2 linked regions of the Mus musculus genome follow. The protein of the gene in region 2 interacts with the protein of the main gene of each other region in a pairwise test. Links are inferred from orthologs where the notes say so. Each region holds a gene or a part of one and is shown on either strand. Other genes may lie near its edges.

Region 1 (4,177 bases), on a different chromosome or scaffold from region 2:
GGCTAAATCCCCACTTCCTCCCTCTCTCCTGTTCTGTCACTGGCTGATCAGCCCTTTATTGACCAATCTGAATAATTAGGAAGCAATGTTTACACAACATTGATGACAGGCAGTTCTCAAAATAAGGATAGCAACCATATATGAGGGCATAGCAATCAGCATGTGAATAATACAAGGATAATCCTTATACAGTGCACAATAACATTATTCCTACAGTTCCCTAAGGAAGAAACTGGGTAAGAAACTATGGGCTTTATTTAATAATATTGCTCATGGGGCTGGAGAGATGGCTCAGTGGTTAAGAGCACTGACTGCTCTTCCAGAGGTCCTGAGTTCAATTCCCAGCAACCACATGGTGGCTCACAACCATCTGTAGTGGAAATCTGATGCCCTCTTCTGGTGTGTCTGAAGTCAGTATACTCACATACATAAATAAATAAAATCTTTAAAAAAAAATACTGGTCATGGGTTTTTAACAAGTATGAGATGCAGATCCCTCTTTTTTTTTTTTTTGAGATGTCAGACTCTCACTGTAGCCCTGACTGCACCTGGAATTCCTTGTATAGGACAGGGTGGCCTCCAACTCAGATATCCAAGACAATCACCTGTCTCTACTTCCCAGAGTGCTGGGATTAAAGGTGTGTGCTACAATACCCAGCCCTCAAATGTCAGTTTTGTTCTGTTTTGTTTTGTTTTGTTTTAACGACAAGATCCAATATGCAGCTTTGACCTGCTTGAAACTTTGTAGACTGGCCCCAACTCATACAGAGTGTTGGGGTTAAGGGTGCACACCACCCACCGCACCTGTCAGATTTAATGATAGGGACGCACGTTGGGGGGGGGTCATGTGGGAACCCACTATATTATCCTCTCATTTTTAAAAATTTATTCATTTACATGTTAATTTATGCATGTGTGTAAGCCCACATGAGTTTATGAGCACCACATGCACGCAGGTGCCTGCGTCATTTCTTTTTTAATACTTATTTATTTCATGTATGTCAGTACACTGTCGCTGTCTTCAGACACACCAGAAGAGGGCACCAGATCCCATTACAGATGGTTGTGAGCTACCATGTGGTTACTGGGAATTGAACTCAGAACCTCTGGGAGAGCAGTCAGTGCTCTTAACCGCTGAGCCATCTCTCCGCCCATCATTAAAAAAAAATGGTTCTAAAACACTGTTACTTGATGGGGATAGGGCAGCAGTCATCATCACCTGATTCCTATAATCTCAATATTATTCCTGTAACATCAAGGTTCAGAAGCAGAAGGGACTTTGCCCTTAACAAAGATGGTAGCCACTAGCGTCGGTAGACTGCCTGCCCCGGACAAAGAGGGCGGCCCCGCCAGCAGGAACCGGAAATACGAGTCTGGGCGGTGCGCGGGGTACGGTGGGCGCTGGGCGGGCGCTGGGCGCGCAAGGTGCGCGGGTCCGGTTATGAAGCTTGGCCGGGCCGCTCTGGCCCTGCTGCTGCTGGCGCCGTGCGTGGTTCGTGCGGTGGAGCCCATCAGCCTGAGTCTGGCCCTGGCCGGCGTACTCACCACCTATATCTCCTACCCTCGTCTCTACTGCCTCTTCGCCGAGTGCTGCGGCCAGATGCGGAGCCTCAGCCGGGAGGGTAGGCGGGCACCAGGCGTCCGGGATGCTGCGGCAGGGGGATGGCGCCGCTGCCAGGCCAGACTTTGGCCGGAGGCCTGAGAGATGAGTGGTCGGGGCCCGGGGTAGGGTGTCAGCCCTGCGCGGAGCTCTCCGGGGCGGCCTCACGGCACCTCTTCCGCTTGGCTTTGGGGCCAACCCCGAGGAAGGGCAGAGTTCGCAGCACCAGGGTCCCTCAGCGCTCTCCAAACCAGGCTCCGCGGGCCCTGACGTCCTGGAAATGGGGCTGCCTTTTGCCAGCTTGTTTCTCTCCTGACCAGAGTGATCTTTCCTTTCTCAGCGCTGCAGAAAGATCTGGATAACAAGCTCTTTGGACAGCATCTTGCAAAAAAAGTCATCCTAAACGCCGTGTCTGGTTTCCTAAGCAACCCGAAGCCCAAGAAGCCCCTTACCCTCTCTCTGCACGGGTGGACGGGCACCGGCAAAAACTTCGCCAGCAAGATCATCGCGGAGAATATTTACGAGGGCGGACTGAACAGTGACTATGTACACCTGTTTGTGGCCACGCTACACTTCCCCCACGCCTCTAACATCACACAGTATAAGGCAAGAGCATTAAGTTGACCGCCTTCGCGGATGACCCGGAATTGGGGTTTCTCTGTTGTGGGGTGGGATGTGGGAATTCCACGTCAGTGAGTGAGCCACAACATGGCTCTCTGTATGTCAGTTCCTCTTTAAAAGGTGTGCACAGAAGTGGTCATATCCCTTGGAGGAATGACAGCTGAAGCTAGGCTACCGTGTTTTAAAGGGGACTGTCAAGAGCTGGGGGTAGCTCGGCATAGAGCACTTGCCCAGAATGTGGGAAGTTCTGTATTATGTCTCTCCACCCCAACTCCCACAACTCCCGCTGTGGCGAGGGTGCACTGGGGGATAGATATGTAAGTTACAAAGGGTTTGAGATACATAGAGCAGTTAGACCACCAAAGTTTTATGAGTGGCCTCTGTGACACTCATAAAGTGACTCGGTAAGGTGACAACTTGGCTGGGAAGTGGGGACATAACAACTCCAGGGTCTTTAGGAGTCGCCTCCCCCCGCCCCCTGTTGTGAAAAGGAAACCTAGAGGCCAAGTTTGCTTTGACCCAGCTGTTGCAACCTGCTATTGGAGTTTAATTCTGATAACAGGCTCACACCTGAATTCAGGTTCGGTCCCTCCCTCCCTACAGCTGTGCAGTAGGGGCTGTCACTTAACTTGAGCAGGGACATTCTTTATCTTAGAATGGTGCTTCAACCTCGAGTCTGTTAGTGCACCCCCTTTCTGTTGAGCATTGTGTGGCCATAACTGTGGCTTTGTGCAGGTTGTTTAATCTTGGTGCCTGAGGTCAGCGGGTGTTTTCCTACACACCTGTATTCCCAGCAGGCTGAGGCAGGAGGATCACACCTTTGAGGTTAGTCTGGGCTACATAGTAAGCTTCTGTTTGAAAACAGAAATGGAGAGGATGTCAGGTGGAGGAAGAGGAGAAAATAGGGGCTCAGTATCATTTCCTCAATGGCTTTGGGGAGAAGATTCAAAAATGTTGTCATAGCCAGGCATGGTGGCGCACGCCTTTAATCCCAGCACTTGGGAGGCAGAGGCAGGCAGATTTCTGAGTTCGAGGCCAGCCTGGCCTACAGCATGAGTTCTAGGACAGCCAGGGCTACACAGAGAAACCCTGTCTTGAAAAACAAAACAAACAAAACAAAAAATGTTGAGTTAACAGAGCTTGGAACGGTGTCTCGCAGCAGTGGGCGCTTGCTCACAGTCTGGGGCAGGAGACTGGGCAGACCTTCTCTGTGGAGTTCTAACGACTGAGTGAGTTGTATGGAACCATGAGTTGCCACATGATTCAGGTCACTGTAGGTTCCTCTAAGGCAGTTTCTCAACCTTCCTAATGCTGTGACTCTTTAATTCAGTTCCTCATAAAATGATTTCGGTATTACTTCAGAACTGTAATTTTGTAACTGTTATGAATCTTAACACAAATATCTGATCTGCAGGTATTTGATAAGTGCGCCCCGGGGGTCTCGACACACAGGTTGAGAACCGCTGCTGGGAGGGGAAGCTGGTCCATACCTGCAGAGTTGCTGCTTACATTAGATACAAAGGAGAACTGTATTGTGGTCACAGAGCAGTGGAAACACCCTAAGCAGATAGATGTACAGTGTAGCTGTTCGTGTGTTCTTTAGAAAGATACATGGCTGCCTTCCCCAGCTCACTTCAAGAGGAGGGTGGCTGGAAATACCTACACCCTAGGTAGGATTTGGGCTCAGTTTTCCCAGGAAGATGCTTTAAGAGGTCTGTGTGTCTCCCCTTGATGGCTCAGTGTATACGAACCTGGCTGGGGTTTGTCTGGGGCTGGCTTAGGGTGACTGAGGCTCTGACTTCATTCTTTAGCATCTGCCCCACCGAACAACCAAATACAAATAAGGTGGGCTCGTTTGTCTGCTTTATTCTTGAGCCCGCTGCCCATGAGCTCATTGTTGCAGCCTGAACTGTGTTTATTATCATCATCATCATTTTAGTTTGGTTTGTTTTTAAT
Region 2 (4,108 bases):
GATGGGGATGCTAGAGCCCAGGATCTAACCCTATCTACTGCAGAGGTGCCACCTTTTCCTTTAATTTCAAGTAAACATGGTATGTGCCACTAGTGTGTAGGAAGGTTGATTTTTAAAGGGAATAAGAATTGAAGGCGTTGCTTAAACAGTTAATTTCTGTCACATTACTTGTACTCTGCATTTGTGGTTTTATCTGCCTCCTTCCTTTATAGCATGCCAAACAAGCTGCTTGTCCCTTGTTTCAAATGCTTTTTTAGACTTCAATTTATTTATTTATTTATTTATTTATTTATTTATTTTTCAGGATTCAGAAGTCAACTGACTTCAAGGATCAGAGAAAGCATTCCCTCCTACGACCCCCCCCCCCTTTTAATACAGTAAACGCTTGATTTAGCTTCCAGTGCCCAACACAAGTTCAGAATACAAGAAAGGAAAAGCAAGGCACTCTGCTGGGGGAGGAGCTTGGCACTCAAATCCACTCTGCTATAAAACAGTGGTATTCTGCTCATCTCAGAGAGAAGTGGGAACGTGTTAAGTAACACAGAAATTGTCTCAAAGCCTGTGCATCTATCTGCGCGTGTGCTTGGATTGGAAGAAGAGTCTGTTCGCTGGAGCTCCACGCAGCCAGAAGTCGGAAAGGTAAGAGGTGTGCAAAATCTGCCATTAAGTAGGGACTAAGGAAGAAACTGCCTGTGATGGTCCCAGAGGGTGAATCCCACAGCCGCTACCTTCCTATCCTGTAACTCTATAGTAAGCCACTTTCTCAAGTGCAAAAAAGCCTTGAGGCAGCTGGTTTTCGACGGTTGGGGGATATTTATTCCTTGCTCCACAGATGGGGAAAAAAAAATCAGCGTCTGGCAGCCGCTGATTGGTGGAAAAGAAAATGGTGATAGTGGAGTGGGAATGAGGATTTGCTGAGCCTCCCCCTGCTTCTTCGACCTGTAACTCTTCCTTAGTCGGCTCCCCTTTGCACCCAGAACCCTTTTAGACTCCTCCGGGGTAAAAACAAATGGAAATCTTAAGCTGTGTGAACAAAAGCAACCCCAAGGGTGTGTGCTCCCTCTCCATTGCCTGGCTCCGCACACAGACCATTTCAGGCGGTCCAGCTCTCTGGTGTGGCATCTGGGCTCGTCCTGGAGGAGGGGGTCGCCTAGAGGAACTGGGAACAGACTGAGGCAGGGAAGGAGGGGGGTGGGGCAGGAGAGGCGCCAGCTCAAGTTCAGCCACGATAAAACTGAGGGCCCTCTGAACTCGAGGGGAGGCTCAGGCCGTCCTCTCTTCCTTCCATCCGGGGGAATGTGCTCCAGATACCCACAGCCCTCACGCACCGCACCTCCAACCAACCCGTCCCCTCCCTAGGAAGAGGAGCGAAGGCACGAGGCAGGCGAGGGGCGGGGAGAGGCGCTGACAAATCAGCTGCGGGGGCGACGTGAAGGAGCCAGGGAGCCAGAGCGCCCGGCAGCAGGCAGCAGACGGCAGGAGACCAGCAGGTGTTCCCCCTGCCCCTGCCTGCCCTTGCCTCTTTCATTGAAATTAGATTGGGGAAAACAGGAAGAATCGGAGTTCTTCAGAAGCCTAGGGAGCCGGTAAGTACCTGTAGATGGGGCAGCTCTGGGGATCTTAGCTAGCCGGAGCAAAGAGCCGGGACGCCTAGAGAAGACCAACTACAGCTGCTTTGGCGGTGGGGACTGGGCCAGTGCGTGGAAAGTACATCACTCGGCTTTCCTTTCGCTGGAGACATGCCCTTCCATCCTGTCAAAGCCCGAGGGAAAGGCCAGGTTGCCTGTGGCATCTGCTTTTTCAAGCGGAAACGCTAGGGTGTTTCATGTTGAGTGCTGGATGGTGGAAGCTTAGTGCTGGGCATTGGGTGGAATTTGAGCATCCAACTTTCATGCTCCAACCCCAGGCATTTCAGCTTCTTTCTGTAGAGGAAGAAGGGTGCCTTTGGCCCATGATTAATAGAAGTGCAGAGGACAGTAGGCAACAGGTGATAAAGGGTTAATGAGCATGGGGTGCAGGGTCTTCTAGAGGATTCCAGCTGAGGACAGAGCTTCTTGGTTGGGTGGTGCTCAAGTGAGACTGCTCAAGTGTATGGACAGCGCCTGCTCTGGGCAGATAGCAGGCAAAGAGCTAGTGGTGGGCAGAAGGTCTTGCAAGATTAGAAAGGCTGGGCTTCAAGCAGTTCCCTACTTCTAGATTAAACAGTTCCCCTCCCTTCCTTCTCCAAAGACTGACTCCTCTCTGGGTCTTTTATCCTCTTGCCCCCACTCCATCTCTGTACGCCCACCTCCCATGTTCCTTTTCTAGATAGTCTTTTTACTTTGAATGTAACCTTTGGGCCCTGGGAACTTGATGGGGTAGAGGATGCCCACCTCCCCTTCTGCAACTCTTCTTCTGAAATATGTATGTAAGAGCAGTCGAATGATCAAACTAGATCCATCCCATCCTTAAGTGACATGACTTTTTCCTAGTATTGAGTGACATAACTCAACAATCAATCAACACTGTGCCCAGCACCCCCACATCCCCCCACCCAAGAAATCACACTTACACCAGGACTTGGGGGAAGGCATACTGATTTTTCCCCCTCAATTTCCTTTCTTTCTCTAGCTGTTTTAAACCTTATTATTATTATTTTTTTACCCAAATTTTCTAATTCAAAATGTATTCTGTATTCTCTAGTGTGGAGCAAAAATACATCTTTAGCCATGGATGTGTTCATGAAAGGACTTTCAAAGGCCAAGGAGGGAGTTGTGGCTGCTGCTGAGAAAACCAAGCAGGGTGTGGCAGAGGCAGCTGGAAAGACAAAAGAGGGAGTCCTCTATGTAGGTAGGTAGTGACACTGTGACTAATGAATTGGGGTGGCTGGTGTGTGGTGTCTGATTCGTGTGCATCACAGCTTCTCAGAAGAGTGACAGCTGTGTGGAGGTGAGAGAATATGAACCTGCATATTAGCTCTCAGAAACAAACAGGGACAATGTTTTCTGTCCTTAGATTCATTAATCTTGTTATTTATGTAGGTTTTTTATTTGGTTTTCTGTTTCTGTGTATGAATACACTGAATTTTAAAAATTGGCAACCCATGAAAAATAACCAAGAATATGCTTATGAATCAAAGACATGTATGGCAGTAAGCCTGGTGGCATTTGGGAAGTGGAGGCCCAAGGACCAGGAGTTGATGGTCATCTTCAGCTACACAGAGAATTTGATGCCAGCCTGAACTATGTGAGAACACACACACACACACACACACACACACACACACACTCACACTCTCTCTCTCTCTCTCTCTCTCTCTCTCTCTCTCTCACACACACACACACTCACACACACACACAATACACACACACACACTCTCTCTTACACACACACATACACACATACACACATACACACACACACATACACACACACACACACTCACACACACACACAAAGAAATAAAGAAATAAAGGAAGGAAGGAAGGAAGGAAGAAAGAAAGAAAGAAAGAGAAAGAAAGAAAGAAAGAAAGAAAGAAAGAAAGAAAGAAAGAAAGAAAGTGAGCCACAAGTACTCATGGGACTTTGATTTCTTTCATCATCACTATAGGTAATACCTGCTAAGTTTAATAAATTATAAAGCTTTAAACAATAGTTTTGCATAATTTTATTTTACAACTGTGAAAATACAACTCCTTTGACCCTCAAATAGAAGAAAGAAAGCAAGTCTTCTTTGGTGGATCTCCTTTTAGGGATCACTTGGTCAGTGGGAACAGCGGGACTTAAGGAACTTCAGAAATGTTTGTTTAGTTCACCTGTCAGAGATCATACATGCTGAACAGTAAGAGGTTGATATTTAGTGCCATTTTCTGCCTGACTGTACACATTGAAAGGAAGGCCAACACTCCCTTTCTCTGTCTTTCCCTGTGTTAAATTGGCTGTAACTTTACAAATCCCTTCTAGTACTTTCATGGAAGGAATAGACACCCATGCACACATGCTTATCCCCAGCAGAGACACAGGTGCACATGGGAGCACAGTTGCAGGGTTCATCTACCTCTCTTTCCTCCTGTGAACACTGTTTCCACCTTCTTAGGAGGGCATCTCTCTTGGTGGAAGACTCAGGGTA

Evidence for each region.
Region 1: the proteins of Snca (region 2) and Tor1a interact in a two-hybrid assay, tested with the Homo sapiens proteins (2 studies listed by BioGRID, with this or other methods). The link is inferred for Mus musculus from reciprocal best matches to the Homo sapiens genes SNCA and TOR1A.

The regions. Positions count from the first base shown.
Region 1 is NC_000068.7:30,965,119-30,969,295, reverse strand, and holds the start of Tor1a (torsin-1A precursor), read left to right. Parts: upstream 1-1,377; 5' UTR 1,378-1,441; coding exon 1,442-1,622; intron 1,623-1,940; coding exon 1,941-2,206; intron 2,207-4,177. UniProt on the Homo sapiens protein: Protein with chaperone functions important for the control of protein folding, processing, stability and localization as well as for the reduction of misfolded protein aggregates.
Region 2 is NC_000072.6:60,826,202-60,830,309, reverse strand, and holds the start of Snca (alpha-synuclein), read left to right. Parts: upstream 1-1,305; 5' UTR 1,306-1,586; intron 1,587-2,682; 5' UTR 2,683-2,708; coding exon 2,709-2,829; intron 2,830-4,108. UniProt on the Homo sapiens protein: Neuronal protein that plays several roles in synaptic activity such as regulation of synaptic vesicle trafficking and subsequent neurotransmitter release.